Linked DNA regions of Astyanax mexicanus. The protein of the gene in region 1 interacts with the protein of each later gene in a pairwise test. Links are inferred from orthologs where the notes say so. Each region holds a gene or a part of one and is shown on either strand. Other genes may lie near its edges.

Region 1 (7,601 bases):
AAGAAGTCAGAAGGTCAGCTTCGAAAATGATCAGTTTAAATAGTCAATTTACACATAGCAGTTTTAATGTTTTGAATGGTTAATATGATTCTCTATTCCCTTTGCTTGTTCTTCATTGTACAGATTTAACCAAATAATATCAAATTAAAAATAAAATCTCAAATCTCAAAAAAAGAAGTGTTCATTTCAAATTTGTAGAGAAAGAGGACAACAATTTATAAAGACAACACCTTGGAAAAGTGCGGGACTGATGCAATAATGGCATATTCTTGTTGTTGTTATTGTAATGTAAAATAAAAAAAAGCTTTTTTTTGTAATACTGTCAATACTTCATCAATTGCACACAATTTGTCATAAAAAATCATACAAATTACATCTGTTTTTTTAACAGTTTAAAGTAGTTTGCACCAGTTGCAGATCATGGGTTTTGTGAGATAAGCACCATCAGGAAGCCACAATATGGAGACCTTTCACCAGTCAAACTATTCAAACATTTAAATATTGCACAGCATAATCTATTCATTTTAAAAGTTTTACACAAAAATGAAATAAAAATTTTAAGAATAATAAAGAATAAAGGAAAATGTCTACGCAATATATCAAATATATATAAAAATTATTAGATTATATATGGATTTTGCTTCTGAAATCTCTTGTTTGCTTTTGCTTATTTGTTTTTGCATCTATATGTATATAATCTGCCAGATTTTAGTGTAAAACCTTTGGCACCAAATTAACTTAAAACTAACATAAAAATATCCACACCAATTTTAGATGCATTTTTACTAAACATATACAACATTAGTGGACAGGGGCACTTCAGGTGGCCAATCAAATTTCAGCTGGAGCCATTGCCCCTGTGACCCCACCCCTAGAACCGCCAGTGCTTTGCATACTACCAAAAACTATTTAACCATTCTTACAAAACAAACCATAATAGACATTTTTTTCTGAGGTTGTTAAATTGGAACAAACCAATAATGAGTAAAATATTATATCATGATTTCTGACATCACTAAACACCTGGAACTGTGTTCTCTAGAATGATGGAACGTCCTTGTGACTAACTGGAGTAGTAGCTAATCATGAAACAACTCCAGTATCCGATTTCGCTAATGCTACTTAATGTTCCAACATGTATTTTCCAGCCTTACTAGAAAAGAGAAGTGAGTTACTGCAGGGTAAGAGCAATAAACTCTGATGAACAGCTGCTGCTGCTGATAAGTGGGTGTAATATCCCTAAAACTGTTGTACAGCTTATTGAAATTCAGTTAGACGTATAAATCTCGACTGACATGAGACTATCAAAAGATTATTTAATTATGTAAGGAATAGGAAAACTATTTAATTACACATATAAAACAACTAGTCATAGGTAGTGTTAGGAGTGTTAATGTACTCTAGACTGTTACATGCAGGACTAGCACAAGGGTGCTGCATATGTCCTCTTTGTGTATGTATGTGTGCATGGGAGACACATACAGACTGAATGTGGTTAGTTCCTGTAACATTCATCAAATCAGTTTTTTGAAGCTACACTCGAAAATCAGGTGTTAAACTAAATTTTCATTTTTTTCCTGTTTAGTATAATAAAAATTGATTTACATTTTTTTCTACAATAAAAAACTAGAAAATTGGCAAGATGAAAGAAGCCCCAGGACTAGGGGTGTGCCATATCGTATCGTACGCGATAATATCGCCAACATTTTTGAATATCGTGAACGATATTATACCCTGAAATATCGTGCCATAACACTCACCCCTAACTATCACATCAGGGTTCTACTTTTTTCTTGTTTTAAGCAAAATAAAAATTCATACATTTCTCATTTCCTATTATATATATACTAGAGACAGATTATATCTGTCCAGTATAATTTATTTTACTTTAATCCTGGATATATGGAGATATTTGGAGTTCTGTTACAAATTTGCTAAAATTCTTGTATTTTTTTTTATATCTCAGTTAGAGGTGTGCAATATCATATCCTATACAATAATAAAATGTAAATTTTGTTTTGTTGCAGTAGTGTGTTTTTTTTTTTTTTTCATATCGCTATCACGTTATTACCATGAAATATTGTGAGATTATTTTAGGGCCATATCGCCCACCCCTAATAAAGACCTTGAAACCCAAACAAATCTATCAAAAAAAGTGACTAGTAAAAGTTGAAGTGTTCTTTAAATACAACACTTAAGTGAAAGTACTAAAGTAACATTTTTGTACTTAAGTATTGCTGGTAGTTTATGTAATGAGAGTAAAGGTACAGTACTGTGTTATGTAGTTATTACAGAAAGCGATGGAAAGTTCTCAAAGTGAAGGGCAGAACGGTAGAAGCGAAATCTTCTTATTAAATCAGCTTGATCTCTTGATTCGCTCAGTGATTAGGAGCTTTATCAAACCCCTTGACTGTGCAGAGCCTCTACCGTATCATATTTAATTGTAACGATTAACGAGTAACGAGTAACGATTCGGCACAAAATCAGAGTAAACGAATTCAATAGAGGGAAATAATGCTCCAGTAGATAACGTTACATATACAGATGTTTAGTATTTACTTACAGTAGTGAAGTAGTTCTACTTCGTTACTATACACTTGTTTAAACTGTTTTTACACACAATATTCTATTATCAAAAAATGTAGCTGGTAAGCGTTACACTGAACCGAATCTGTCCTGCTTACAGCAATCCATCAGAATCTGTATCTGTAAGCCTGTTTTAACTAATGCAGGTTCTGAACTCCACATCCCAAACATTGTAAAGACACTACATAAAATCAAATTATAATCAATACAGACGAGTCTCTATAAAAAAAAGATATAGTATTAAATAGCTAACGTTAGTTAACGTATTATTGTCTAGGTTAGCTTAGCTCCGTTACTGAGCACTGAGAGCTGACTGCCTTTATCGGTGCCTTTAACACATAATACGAAGACTTTACCTTACAGTACACACAAAAACACCCATTCTCAGCATTAGCTTAACAGACAGAACACACTTAAACACTGCTTTACACAAACACCCCGATACTAATTTGAGTCTTACCGCTTCATGCTCTCCAAAACAAACCCACTTCCTGCTGTCAGCGGAAGTGCTATTGTCAAAACTACGAACTCTGGGATATGTAGTTTAATGGAAAAAGAGCGTTAACCTTTATAACAAGTGAGTGGTCGTCAGTAAAGCTTCAGTAATCAAATGTGAACAGACAATAAATACAGTAGAGCTGCGATTTAAATACGGCAATAATATTTTATAATAACAATCTTATTCATGTGTTTTCATACAGACAAGGGCTCAAATTTAAATGTATGTTTATAAGGTCTATCACAATTGTTAGTTTCTGATGTTTTGGTCTATTCAGGTAATCCATGGTGGGTTTCTGGTATATTTTGGTTTAATTTTATCTTATCTTCAGCTTTTTTTTTAACTACACTTCTGTGCTGTCATCTTGGGGTTTGATTTAATGATTTGCCTTTCATACCAATTCTCTGGGAGATTTCTTCATCTTCCAGACTCTGTCTTGACTTCCACAGTTCCCATGAACCTCGGTTTTAAATACAATTCCACACTGCAGAACGCAACAACAACAAAGTCTTGGCTGTATTTGTACTGCTCCTTCTTTGTGGGCACTGATTGCTTTCATTGTCAATTTTTTAGGTAGTTGCTTAGAGGAGACAGTAGTGGCTGAATGTTAGCAAAAGAATGCAAAGTTTGAATACATTAGTGAGTACACCAGTTGTGTACAACACACTAACAGTATTAGGCATAAACTAGCATTGCTATACCAAGATTGCAGTTACAGCAAGTTCTCAAGCTGACAATGTCACTGCATTTGCATCATTATCTGTTTGTTTTTTCTCATTTCTTGTTCCAGACATGAGTAGCTCCTTCTGTGTCATTTCACATTGGATTGTGGAAAAAAGTGTATATTGTAACCACCCGTAAAAACTGACCAGTTTTTTTGTATTGTGGATTGTGATTATATTGTTTTATATTGCAAAATGTGCAATTTGTACCACAACTATAACATGTGAATGTGTCCTTTGGCCAAGGTTGCCCAAATTATTGCATTAGAGTGTATATCCCCCTTAAAACACTGAATATTAGTTGAGTGCTGTTGAATGTATTTACAATTGCAAAAGGGCATTTCAAATGCACCACACTAACAGTGTGTTTGCATGAGTGTGATTTTGTATCTTCATGTCAGGTGAAATAACACAGATTACATGGTGTGATGATTAGTGATGTGAAGTTCTCAACTAGTTGTAGCTGTAGCAACCTTTTCAGTGATATTTGATCAGAAGCAAGTTCACAGTACATTTTCCATAAAGAACTCCTACAGGTTCCTCAAGTGTCTTTTTATTTTAACAGTGTACACATCCACTCAGAACCCATTCCTTCCTAGCCCATGTGAGCCCCATATGAGGATGTCATTTTCAGAATGAACGGTTATCTAATGAACATTTACTGCCCTCTGTATAGTTCCCATAACTGAACCAGTTTAGACCTGTTGGACATAGATTCCCAGTCCAATCATGCTGTTCAACAACAGTGCATCAGTGTACAATTTTGGGAGTACCTATCCTTACATAAATTATGAAATATAGTAAACATATAGATGCAGTATATTAAAGGAAAACTCATTTGGGAACATTTGATTCAGTGTGTCTTTATTAAACTTAAAGTTGCAAAATGTGAATCTAAAACAAAAACTTTTCTTGTTTGCAAAATGTTATTTATAGCCACTCGGTTCTACCTATTTGAAAATGTTTGTCTTTAGTGTTTTGTTTATGACTAATGTTTAATGTCAGTGTCAGATTATTTAGTGGACATTCTATTTAAAAAAATGATGTAGCAAGGGTGACACTAGTAAGTGAGATTAATGAGTCTTTCACACTACTTCCAAATCACAATACTTTTGCTACTTAGTGCAATTAAAGCAAGAACTTTTGCACTTGTATACAAGTGGAAGTCTAAAAGCAGCATATTTTACTGTTTTTTTTATTTTCTATTTTTCCTTAGGAAGATAAGTGGCTAGCTATATGTTTTTTGTGTTGCATCTAATACTGCTTTAAATCTTATGATATTACTGAGTTTCATCAGCATCTTTCAGCTCTGCTCTGAGGTGGAGGAAAGTTACTGCTGCTGGTGTTAAATATAATACAGGCAATGGGGATAGAAGAACAGTTTCACGTACAGCATGCATATGCAACTTGGAGTGACCTATTGTATTTAAAAAAGAGCAAGTTCTAATCAGTTTCTAGTGAAATAACACCTTTAACATGACTCTTTCAAAGTTCTCAAACTGCCTAATTTTACATGTCAGGGCTCTAGAGTTCTAACAATGCAGTGTGGAGCTACTTTGATTTCTTTGCATTAGTTATCACTTGCATTGTAAGCCTGTTGGGAGCATCGGCTAAAACTCATGAACTCATTACACTAAACCCCAAGTCTATTTCAAACTAGATTTTCCCTTTAAACAAAAAAATGATAGATATTAGAGCCTAAATCACAGTACTTTTACTTTTGCTGCTTAAGTGCACTTCCCAGCTGGCACACATCCGACCTTCAACACTTAAAGGTTGTTCCAATATAGTTGATATCTGTTGTCGCTTCAACTGAAACAATATTTAATATCAGATGGTTGTGCCAACGTTGAAATTTTAACATTGAATCAACATAATGTCCTCAACCTTCTGCCTTTTGAATTAGCATTTTACATTGGATTACCATATCTAGGGGTCTGTTCATGTTCTATTTGTTTTACTGTTGTGTTTTTGAGATCAGATGTTCAATCAGATTGGTAGTGGTGGATAACATTCTTTATATTCAGCTTTACTGTAGTGATGTAAGTTAAGTTTAATATTAACGCTCTAGTTTCAGCTACTTTTAGTAACTGCTTTTGTTTGCAGTTGTACAGTTCCTATTTCTCAGAGTTGTATATTCAAAGATAAAGAGAATAAAAATAAAATTGTTAATATTTCATCATGGCATACATTTTTTCCCCTCTTCCAGTAAGAAATATAAGACTAAATAAGATTCAAATTGAGATTTGAAATATTAACTATACATTATAAGGTATATAAAAAAATAAAAAATGCTGAATGAAGAATACATATACATGAATATATAAATACAAAAACTATACAAACTGTGACAGTAGTCAGATGTAGATTGGAGGTAGTTCAGTAATGCAGAATAAATTAAGTATAAGGGATAGCAGGTATCAGTAGATACGAAAAATACTAAACATAAACTGGTATTGTGCAAGTATTGTATTTAAGTTCAGTGTAAGTAGTGTCCAGGAGTGTGAATGCACAGGATGTACCATAAGGAGTTAATAGTGCCCTGGAGTGCAAATGTACAAGATGTACCATCTCAAGTGGAAGTCTCAAAGAAGTAATTTTTTTTTAGTTTGACTATATGCTTTGTGAATTGCGTCTAACACTGCGTGAGTATCATGATATCACTGAGTTTCATCAGCATCTTTCAGCTCTGCTCTGAGCTGGAGGAAAGTTACTGCTGCTGGAGGAGGATGAGGAGAAAGCGAAAGAACATCCGGTACGCGCTGACGTCAGTAGGTGAGGCGGCAGGGTGTGTTCAGTAGAGCGAGCAGGAATGAAAAAAGAGATGAAAAGAAAAACATGGCTGCGATCATATTGAAAAGCTGCGAGCAGGCGAAGGTTGAGCTGAGGAGAGCCGGGCGCTGCTGCTGCTACTGCTGCTGCTGGTGGTTCGAGCAGCTCTGCAGCCTCTGACTGACGGCGCGGAGGGGTGGGGACGCAGGGTGGGGTCAGAAGCAGGGGAGAGGCGGAGGAGAGACGGAGAGCCTGAGAGCCCAACCCTGAACACGGCAACAACACACACACACACACACACACTCTCTCTCTTACACACACACAGAAAGACGCTTTGGGGGGGAGGAAAGAGGATTTTTTCGACGCCGGGGACATGATTCGTACCACTCGCTGAGGCGACGACCATCACCGTAGCCTCCAAAAACCCGATACGAAAGGTGGAAAACTGCCGTCGACGTTACGAACCTAACCTAACCTAGCTTAGCTATTATTGAAACACACCCCACCCGAGCGACCCCCTCTCTCCCTCCCTCTCCACTCCACCCCTTTTTAACCACCGCACCCGCTTGCTTAGCTACCGAGATGCACACGGAGACTCGGAATAAGAAAGTAAGTAAGTCTGTTTTATTACCCGTTGTTGACTTGTTATCAGAACTGCAGGACAGGACTTAACGCTAGTTAGATAGCTAACTAGCTATTAGCCGCTGCTAGGTAACAACAGCTCTCGGGCCGGTGATATGTACTAGGTTAGCTAGTTAGTTAAATAAATGTCAGCCGGTTCTGTGCTAAAACTAAAACAAACCGAACTAAAGCTCTTTCCTGCGGGCTGTTCACTAACGCGAGCTACCTAAAGACTTCTACAGCAGCTGCCAATCCAGGTAAGAATGGTAGGTTAGCTCAAAGCATGGCAAGGTGAGGTTAGGTCCCGTCCCCTTCTCTTCTCTTTCCCCGCCGAGCCTGCTGACAGCTGTAAGCCAGGTCAGAGGCGCTGCAGCCCGGTGAATTCACTCCAGCGTTCCCGT
Region 2 (7,960 bases), on another chromosome or scaffold:
TACAGGGACAAATGTTCCATCTAACTACACTGCTAAAACTCATAGAACATGAAACTAGTTCTTTTCCATTTCCCATGACTTTTGCCATGTCCCATTGAAGTTAGTACAGATACACTGTGTGTGTGTGTGTGTGTGTGTGTGTGTGTGTGTGTGCGGGTGTGTGAGGCGTACTGCATGAAATGTGTATATAAATTCTGCTCTCTCTGTTCACACAGGCAATTCTAGCCAGACACCACCAGTCACAATCATTACTACCCACTGTGCTGTCCACTGAGGGTGATAATGCCTTTTCTGATGGATTCTGGTACACATATGATAATATAGATCAAAGAATGTTAAATGTCCCATTCATCTGCACCCACTACTAGACATCACTCCAACTCAAATAACTTACACCACCTTGCCATGAGCACACTGACCAGTGATGTTCAGACTCACTCAACTTCTAGAAATTACTCAACAACTAATACAGGTGTGATTGATTGCTCTTGATATTTCCCATCACTTCAGTTTGTATCCATACAATATCAGTCAAATGTTTGGACACACATTTTAAAATTGTATGCATTGTAGAGTAATACTGAAGTCATTCAACCTATGCAGAAAAAAGTGTTAAATCGGAATATGCGCTATATTTTAGATTATACAAAATTAGCAACTATTGCTTAAATAGAGACAATTTTGTACATCTTGGCTGGATCTTCACAGTCAGCTTTATGAAGCAGAGTCACCTGGACTTCAGGCTTTCAGTTAACAGCTGTGTTGAACTTATTAAGAGTCAATTACTTGAATTTCTTGCCTCTTAATGTGTTTGAGAGCATCAGTTGTAAAGTTGTGAAGAGGTAGAGTTACAGGTATACAGTGAATAGCCCTATTTAAGTGGTGTTCTAATTCATCGTATGGCAAGAACTACTCAACTAAGTATAGAAAAAAATACTTTTAAAGGTCAGAGAATCTGAAAATTTCTTTGAAAAGTATTTTTTGAAAGTATTCTTAAGCTCAGTCGAGAAGACCATCAAAAACCTTATGATGGAACTGGCACTCATCAGGACTGCTGCAGGAAAGGGAGAGCAATAGTTTTCTTCTGTTGAACAAGATAGTTCATCACCTAAACGCTTCACATAGTATTTTGGATTTTGGACATAATTCATTATGTGTTCTTTCAAAGTTTGGATAAATTCAGTATTTATTTACAATTTACTAAAATAAAACATTGCATGAGAAGGTATGTCCACATTTTTGAATGGTACTGTATATATACAGCTCTGGAAAAAAATAGTTTCTTTGATTTTACCAGGAGTGGCATAAAGTTATCCAAAAGCAGTGTGTAAAACTGGTGGAGGTGAACATGCCAACATGCATGAAAACTGTGATTAAAATCCAGTAGGACTGGTGTCTTGGTTTAAAGTGCAATTTCGTCTGATTACCTTCGGTCACTGGTTATTGCAGGCACTTTAAGTTCACATTACATTAATAACGTCCTGTTACCAGCTCCTATTCTAACAGGACAATGCTTGTCCACATACCGCTGCTATCTCCAGAGCTTCCCTTAAAGACACAGATGCTGTGCCATTCATTCTATACAGTATCTTATAATCTTTATGAAGCTACAATAGGAATTTGTTTATACACTGAGGTTCAGAAGTTTCCTCCAGCCCCTGCAGTGGCTAATTCCACTCTGATATTCACTGTGACGCTCATGTCAAACCTCCACAAGCACAGCCCACTCTGCAGCCGCCGGAGATACTGAACGAGGGTTGTTCATTGTGACAGGCACTAGAGAGGATATGTGTGTGAGAGAGAGAGAGTCAGTGTGTCTTACAAGCACCTGAAAGTGGAGACTGTTATTATCACAGCTGCTCAGAAGTGTAGGCAGGAGAAGCAGCAGCAGAATAGCTGTAATGCACTGTCTGCTACATGTTCCTACACACACACACACACACACACACTCAATTACGTGCATGCAATAATATTCACATCTGCAAAAAAACTCACCTAGCACCATACCACTACTATATATACTAAGCTATTAGCAGATACTGATCCAAAACATTTTGATCTAAAAGTAGCTACTTTAAACTAAAGCAGATAACTGTTTAAAATGTTCAAACACTGATTGCGTTTTCATACACTTCATAATCCAAAGTTTGTCAGTAATCTAATCTACGCATTTACACAAACTTGTGCAATTACCGTATTTTTCAGACTATAAGGCAGACTGAATTAAAAGGCTCACTATCAATGATTGTCTATTTTTTGGTCTATTTTCATGCATAAAATGCACCGGATTATAAGGCAACAATAGAAAGAATGCCTTAATCAAAGTGAACAAGAGTGTTTCCATGTTTCCGTTCTAGTAAACAAAACTGTAATTCCTCAAAAAAATGTGCTAGATGTTAATATACAGATTAATCTCCTGAAAACTGTTTAGTTGGGTAAGTAAAGCATTTCCATCTATTTACAGTAATCTTAGATTCCCAATATTTTGTCTAAGAGGGTGTTTTTTTAGTAAAGTTTCTCCAGAACTAAGGCTGGGTGCAGCAGCATTAGCATTAGCCACTAACCACAGCACTAGTGAGACTAGTGCCGCCCGTTAGTGGTTGATTGAGGAACCTGAGTGTTCCCGTAACCCAGGGTGCTATCAACCTGCGGTTTATCCCACGTAGATTGTTTTAACATGTGAAACATGCAGACTACAGTCCAATATACTCGCTTCTGAACTCGCTTCTGACAAAAGAGCTAGCGCTGTGGTTAGCGGCTATTGCTCATGCTGCTGCACCCAGCTCTAGTGCTGGAGAAACTTCACTGAAACCTCACTCTTATAACACTGTACTTCAATGGAGTGGCCTAACAGGTAAAATTCATACATAAGGCACACTGGATTATAAGGCGCAGTGCCAATTCGATCTATATAAGGCCAAACAAACTGCAACATATCTCCATCTGCCTATATTAGAAAAGAAAACATTGAATAAGTGTAAATGGACAAAAGAATTAATGAAAAAGAAGATATTTTGTGTTTTGAAATGGGCTGACCTTCATTCTCCTCAGCTACACTTGGTGAAGGTGAATTCCGCCGCAAAATGGGGACCTATAGGATATTAAATGCAAGGGTTTTACTTACTAACCAAGGGTTCTAGCATGCACTGTGAATATTTCTCTGTGCTCAATAAAGCTTATATTTACACACAATTTTATACTTTTTTGTAACCTATATTTTAAGTATGTATATCATAATTTTTGTTTAAGAAGTTTTAATATATATTGTGTCAATAATTGTGACTTAAATATCCATATAACCACATTGTATTAGTCATTAATGCAGATATCTGTACAATAAAAGCTGTAATTTCTATAGCTATTAAAAATACACACATACTTTCAGCAGTATGACTCATTATGGCTCCACACACACGTATGAGAAAAAACAAATGAAGGTGATGGTCAGCACATGGCCTTGCTGTACATAACCCACTCAACCCTCGCTCCAAAGAATAATGCCCACACTAGATTAGCACTGCAGGGCCTCAATATTTATACCAGTGTGGTCGTTTAGGAGGTCACTGGTCAACCTGCACATCCTTCTTTTCTCGCTCTCTTTTCGCTCAGCTCTTCTCTGATTCGCTGGAGAGGAGCAGTGCAATAAGCAGCCCACTGTTATTTAGGACCTCATACTGACACGGGTATTGATGGCAGTGGACAGAGAGGCGAGAACATTCGCAAATCAGCGGAGATGTGTTAAACTGCCTCTCTCGTCAGATAAATCACTTTTGTGGAGCGCTCTTGTGACAGCACCATCACACCCCCCTCACACCGCCCCTCCCCCGTGCCTCTGTGCTTCATGTCAGGTGTTCAGCGTGAGGGGCTTTTGGCTGAAGTTAATTGATTTCATCTCCCGCTCTGCCTGCGACCTCTGCTGCTTTTCTTAATTTATAATCCCCCATAATACCAGGTGCCCAGAACAGTGTCAATATGGTGGAAGGTGCTTCTCCCTGCCATGTGGTAAAAACAGACTCTCCCTGCACTGAGACAAAGTGTGCACAGCCTCTTTCTAGCCTTAGGAGGAATGAGACTCTCAGGGCAGAAGTAACCTCTCCCTACCCTCAGGGCAGAAGCATATCTCTGCCTTCAAGGTAAAGGAAGCCTCTCCCTACCCTCAGGGCAGAAGGAACCTTTTCATGCCCTCAGGGCAGATATAGCATCTCTGTCACCTTGAGCAGAAAAAAACTCTCCCTGTCCTCAGGGCAGAAGAAGCCAAATCCCTACCCTAAAGGCAGAGGGAGCCTCTCTCTGGCCTTAAGGCAGAAGGATCCTCTCCCTACCCTCAGGGAAGAAGAAGCCCCTCCCTGCCCTCAAAGCAGAGAAAGCCTCTCCCTGCCCTCAGGGCAGAAGGAGTGTATGCTTGCCTTCAAGGCAGAAGAAGCCTCTCATTACCTTAAGGGCAGAAGACACCTCTCTTTACCTTAAGGGCAGAAGACGCCTCTCCTTACCCTCAGGACAGAAGGAGCCTTTCCCTTCCCTCATGGCAGAAGAAGCCCCTCCCTGCCCTCAAGGCAGAAGGAGCCTCTCTCTGCCCCCAGGGCTAAAGAAGCCTCTCCCTGCCCTCAGGGCAGAAGGAGCCTCTCTCTGCCCTTAGGGCAGAAGAAGCCTATCCTTGCCCTTAAGGCAGAAGCAGCCTCTCCCTGCCCTCAGGAAGGAAGAAGTCTATCCCTGCCCTTAAGGCAGAGGGATCATCCCCCTTGCATTTAGGGCAGATTGATCCTCTCCCTGCCCTCAGGGTTGAATAAGCCTCTCCCTGCCCTCAGGGCAGACAGAACATATCTGTCCCCTTGGGCAGAAAAAAAAACTTTTCCTGTCCTTGGGCAAAAGAAACCTCTCACTGCCCTTAAGCAGAAATAGTCACTCTTTGCCATCAGCGTGAAAAGCCTCTCCCTGCCCTCAGGTGAAAGTAGCCACTCCCTGTCCTCAGACAGAAGTAGTTTCTGCCTGTCAAATGCATTCATGGGTCTGAGCAAATAACAAGAGATGACAGATATGCAAAGAGGAATAGGATGTTAGAACAACATAACAATCAAACTGTGCCCTCAATAATTGATCAAGAGAAAGACAAAACACCACTTATTTTTTCCCCTCCCTTCTTACAGTTTCTTCAGCCTTTAACCATTTTCATTTCTGGTATAGTTTGTTAGTCTTTTCATATTTAGTATTATAAGTAGAGACATTTTACCAACATTTTATCATGAATCTTCCTCGAGAGGCTAGGCTACCTATGCACTTATTGGATAGTTTATTACAATGACCTGTTCACCTTCTCCTTTGTGCAATGACCTTATCAGCCAATCATTTGCTAGCAGTGTAATGCATAAAATCATGCAGATACAGGACCATTGTATGGTGAACATCATGCTGTATATGTATGGGTAGCTCAACTGGACATCAGAACGTTTTTTTCTACTGTTTCTACTGATATTTCTACATAGGGGCCCACTGAGAATCCCAACTGTGCCCAGTAACAACACCTGTACCAACTCAATCATAGCCCCTGCCCACCTGGAAGCCATCTAGCACCATCTCCACATGGGCATGCTAGCTGGGCTTAGGCTATACTCAGTGATCTTAATCATGACACGAGTTCTTGTGCTCCTGTGAGAAAGACTATAATATTCACTTGAAAGAAAACATACTGTGAGTGGTAGATCTGAGGATGAAATGCCTTGTTTTCTGAGATTACGTCACTTCAAAAGTCCAACAGCTGATGTTCCAGTGGCTACACGCTCACCAATTGTACAGCTAACGAGTGACAAAAAGCCTGGTTCCAACAGTATAAATCCATGGACCAGGGACTTGCTTTATGTAAACACTCCAGACTGGTGGAGATGGAGGAGTGTGAGGTGCATTTTCCTTGGCATTCCTTGAGTTTGCTTGAATGCTTGAACCCTATTTGCTGACCATGTGCATCCCTTCATGGACGCAATTTACCAATCTTCTAATGGCTGCTTCCAATATGACAATGGATGGTTGATCAGTGGCATTGCCAGTGAAGAGATCTGAATACAACAGAACAACTTCCACCTGGTAGAATGAGAGATTCACAGCATATTAATGCTCTCATGAAAAATAAGCAATCATGTCATCATCTCAATAAGACACCCCACCTTACAGTTCTGTATTAGCATGCTTTGTTGTCTTGTTCTGATAAACATCTTACAATAGGATTATTTAGTTGCAACAGGACATCACATGTTACAAGACACACATCATTTACTTATGTGCGTCTTATAACAACATGTTTTCTAACATTCATATTGTCCATCTTCATGATCACGAAGAGCACAGTCAATCAGTTCAAACCTTCGAGTACCAGCACTTATTTATGCCTTTAAGTGCCGACTACATCCATTACACAGCAGGCACCTTTCAAGGCCTAACTGACAAGTGGATATGCACAGTATGCCAACCAATCAATAGAGTGACACACTGGATCCTCCACTCTGCATGACTGAGCTGAAAGATGGCGTCCGCAGCCAGGCGCTGCATAAATGATGCTAAAAGATGAAGTGGTGAGAGCAGTGTGTGTGTCTGTCTGGAACTTGCAGCAGGCACACGGCAGCGTGCACTGAGAGAGCTGGTGTGGTGTGAAGCAGTGCAGCCAGATTTGGCCCTGGGAGCGAATGCAACTGTAATGAATAGCATCAGGATAGATTGGCTGCTTAAAAGGCAGACGTCAGGCATGCAAAAAGCCTCGCCTGGGCTTTCATTAACATGTTCTTGCCAACTCCTTCATCGCACTTCCTGTGTAATTTTCACCTCCATGAGCGTGCTCGTACCGCCCAACGAGCAGAGAGGCAGCACCAGTCGGGGGAAGGTGGCAATCTGCCCGCAAAGCCGCTCAGTCAAACAGAACGAGCGGAGAGAGCAGCCCATGCCCTCTCCGTGAAGTGTCAGGTGGAGACACTGCGGCCCCACATTGGGCTGAGATGTGGTGCTTAAAAAGGCCTCTAAGAGCCCTCTCCGAGCCCTGCCACCCCCTGATTCATGATCACAATCTGCCGGCAAAGTTAGAATAATGAGAATAACCGCACTGCTGTTCACAGGCGTTATGTGCAATGTGTGTGTGTGTATATGTGTATGTGTGTGTGTGTGTGCTAGCCTCCTGCAGAAGAACCCTTTGGAACAACATTGCCTTATCACAGATCCTCATTCATCTCCCTGGTGCATCGGCTTAGTCTCTGCCGGCAGCAGGCTCTCCCCTCACCTCAAGCAAATTTCATTTCACTAGAAAATTGCTTCTTGTTCGCGGCAACCCTATTCTCCTCCTACTCTTCTGCCTCCTCTGTTCGCTAGCCCCGCACTAAATTCCACACTCATCGTAGTGCCTCCAGCAGTAATCCAATTAAGCATGAAGCAAATGAAGCTGTCTCTCATTCGCGAGGTGCAGTCACCTGCGCTGGGGAGATGGGCGGCAGAGGCGAGGCAGGACGATAATGCCACACTTGTTTCAATGGTACCTTTAATTGCCTGAAAGAAATCCCTTGTCCAGGGAAGACGGGGAGACACATTTGCGGTGATGGGATTTAATTGCCTTCGCTGGCGCGCCGTCGTGTTATTTACGTTAATCTCTGTAAACGCCCGTGTAGAAGGGAATCAATCTTGTTTTTCCTGCAAAAGGATCAGTGTGGAGGTGATTACCGTTCAACGACAACTTCCTCCTCTCCTCTCCAAGCCCAGGACGTGGAAGCTCGCCCAGCAAAGCTGAACAGGAGCATGCCAAGGTGAAAATCAGCCAAGGTTGTCACTGATCCGAAGTGAAAAAGCGAAAAAGCGAACTGCATACCCCCCGCCCCTTGTGTCAGATCGCCCGCTGGAGTCCAGAGAACATCACCGAGCAGCTCTTTGACCTTAATATCTTTAAGAAACTCCTGAAGACAGAGCTCTTCAATGAGCACTTACTCTCTTAACA

Evidence for each region.
Region 2: the proteins of rbm41 (region 1) and RNA-binding Raly-like protein interact in binary tests that used the Homo sapiens proteins (3 or more experiments, as listed by UniProt). The two-hybrid records come from large-scale screens. The link is inferred for Astyanax mexicanus from reciprocal best matches to the Homo sapiens genes RBM41 and RALYL.

What each region holds. Positions count from the first base shown.
Region 1 is NC_064424.1:16,702,674-16,710,274, forward strand, and holds the start of rbm41 (RNA-binding protein 41), read right to left. Parts: upstream 3,006-7,601; 5' UTR 2,978-3,005; coding exon 2,943-2,977; intron 1-2,942. Other genes in the region: klf8 (Krueppel-like factor 8), read left to right, coding at 7,162-7,188. UniProt on the Homo sapiens protein: May bind RNA.
Region 2 is NC_064413.1:46,358,587-46,366,546, reverse strand, and holds the start of RNA-binding Raly-like protein, read right to left. Parts: upstream 3,090-7,960; 5' UTR 3,043-3,089; coding exon 3,037-3,042; intron 1-3,036.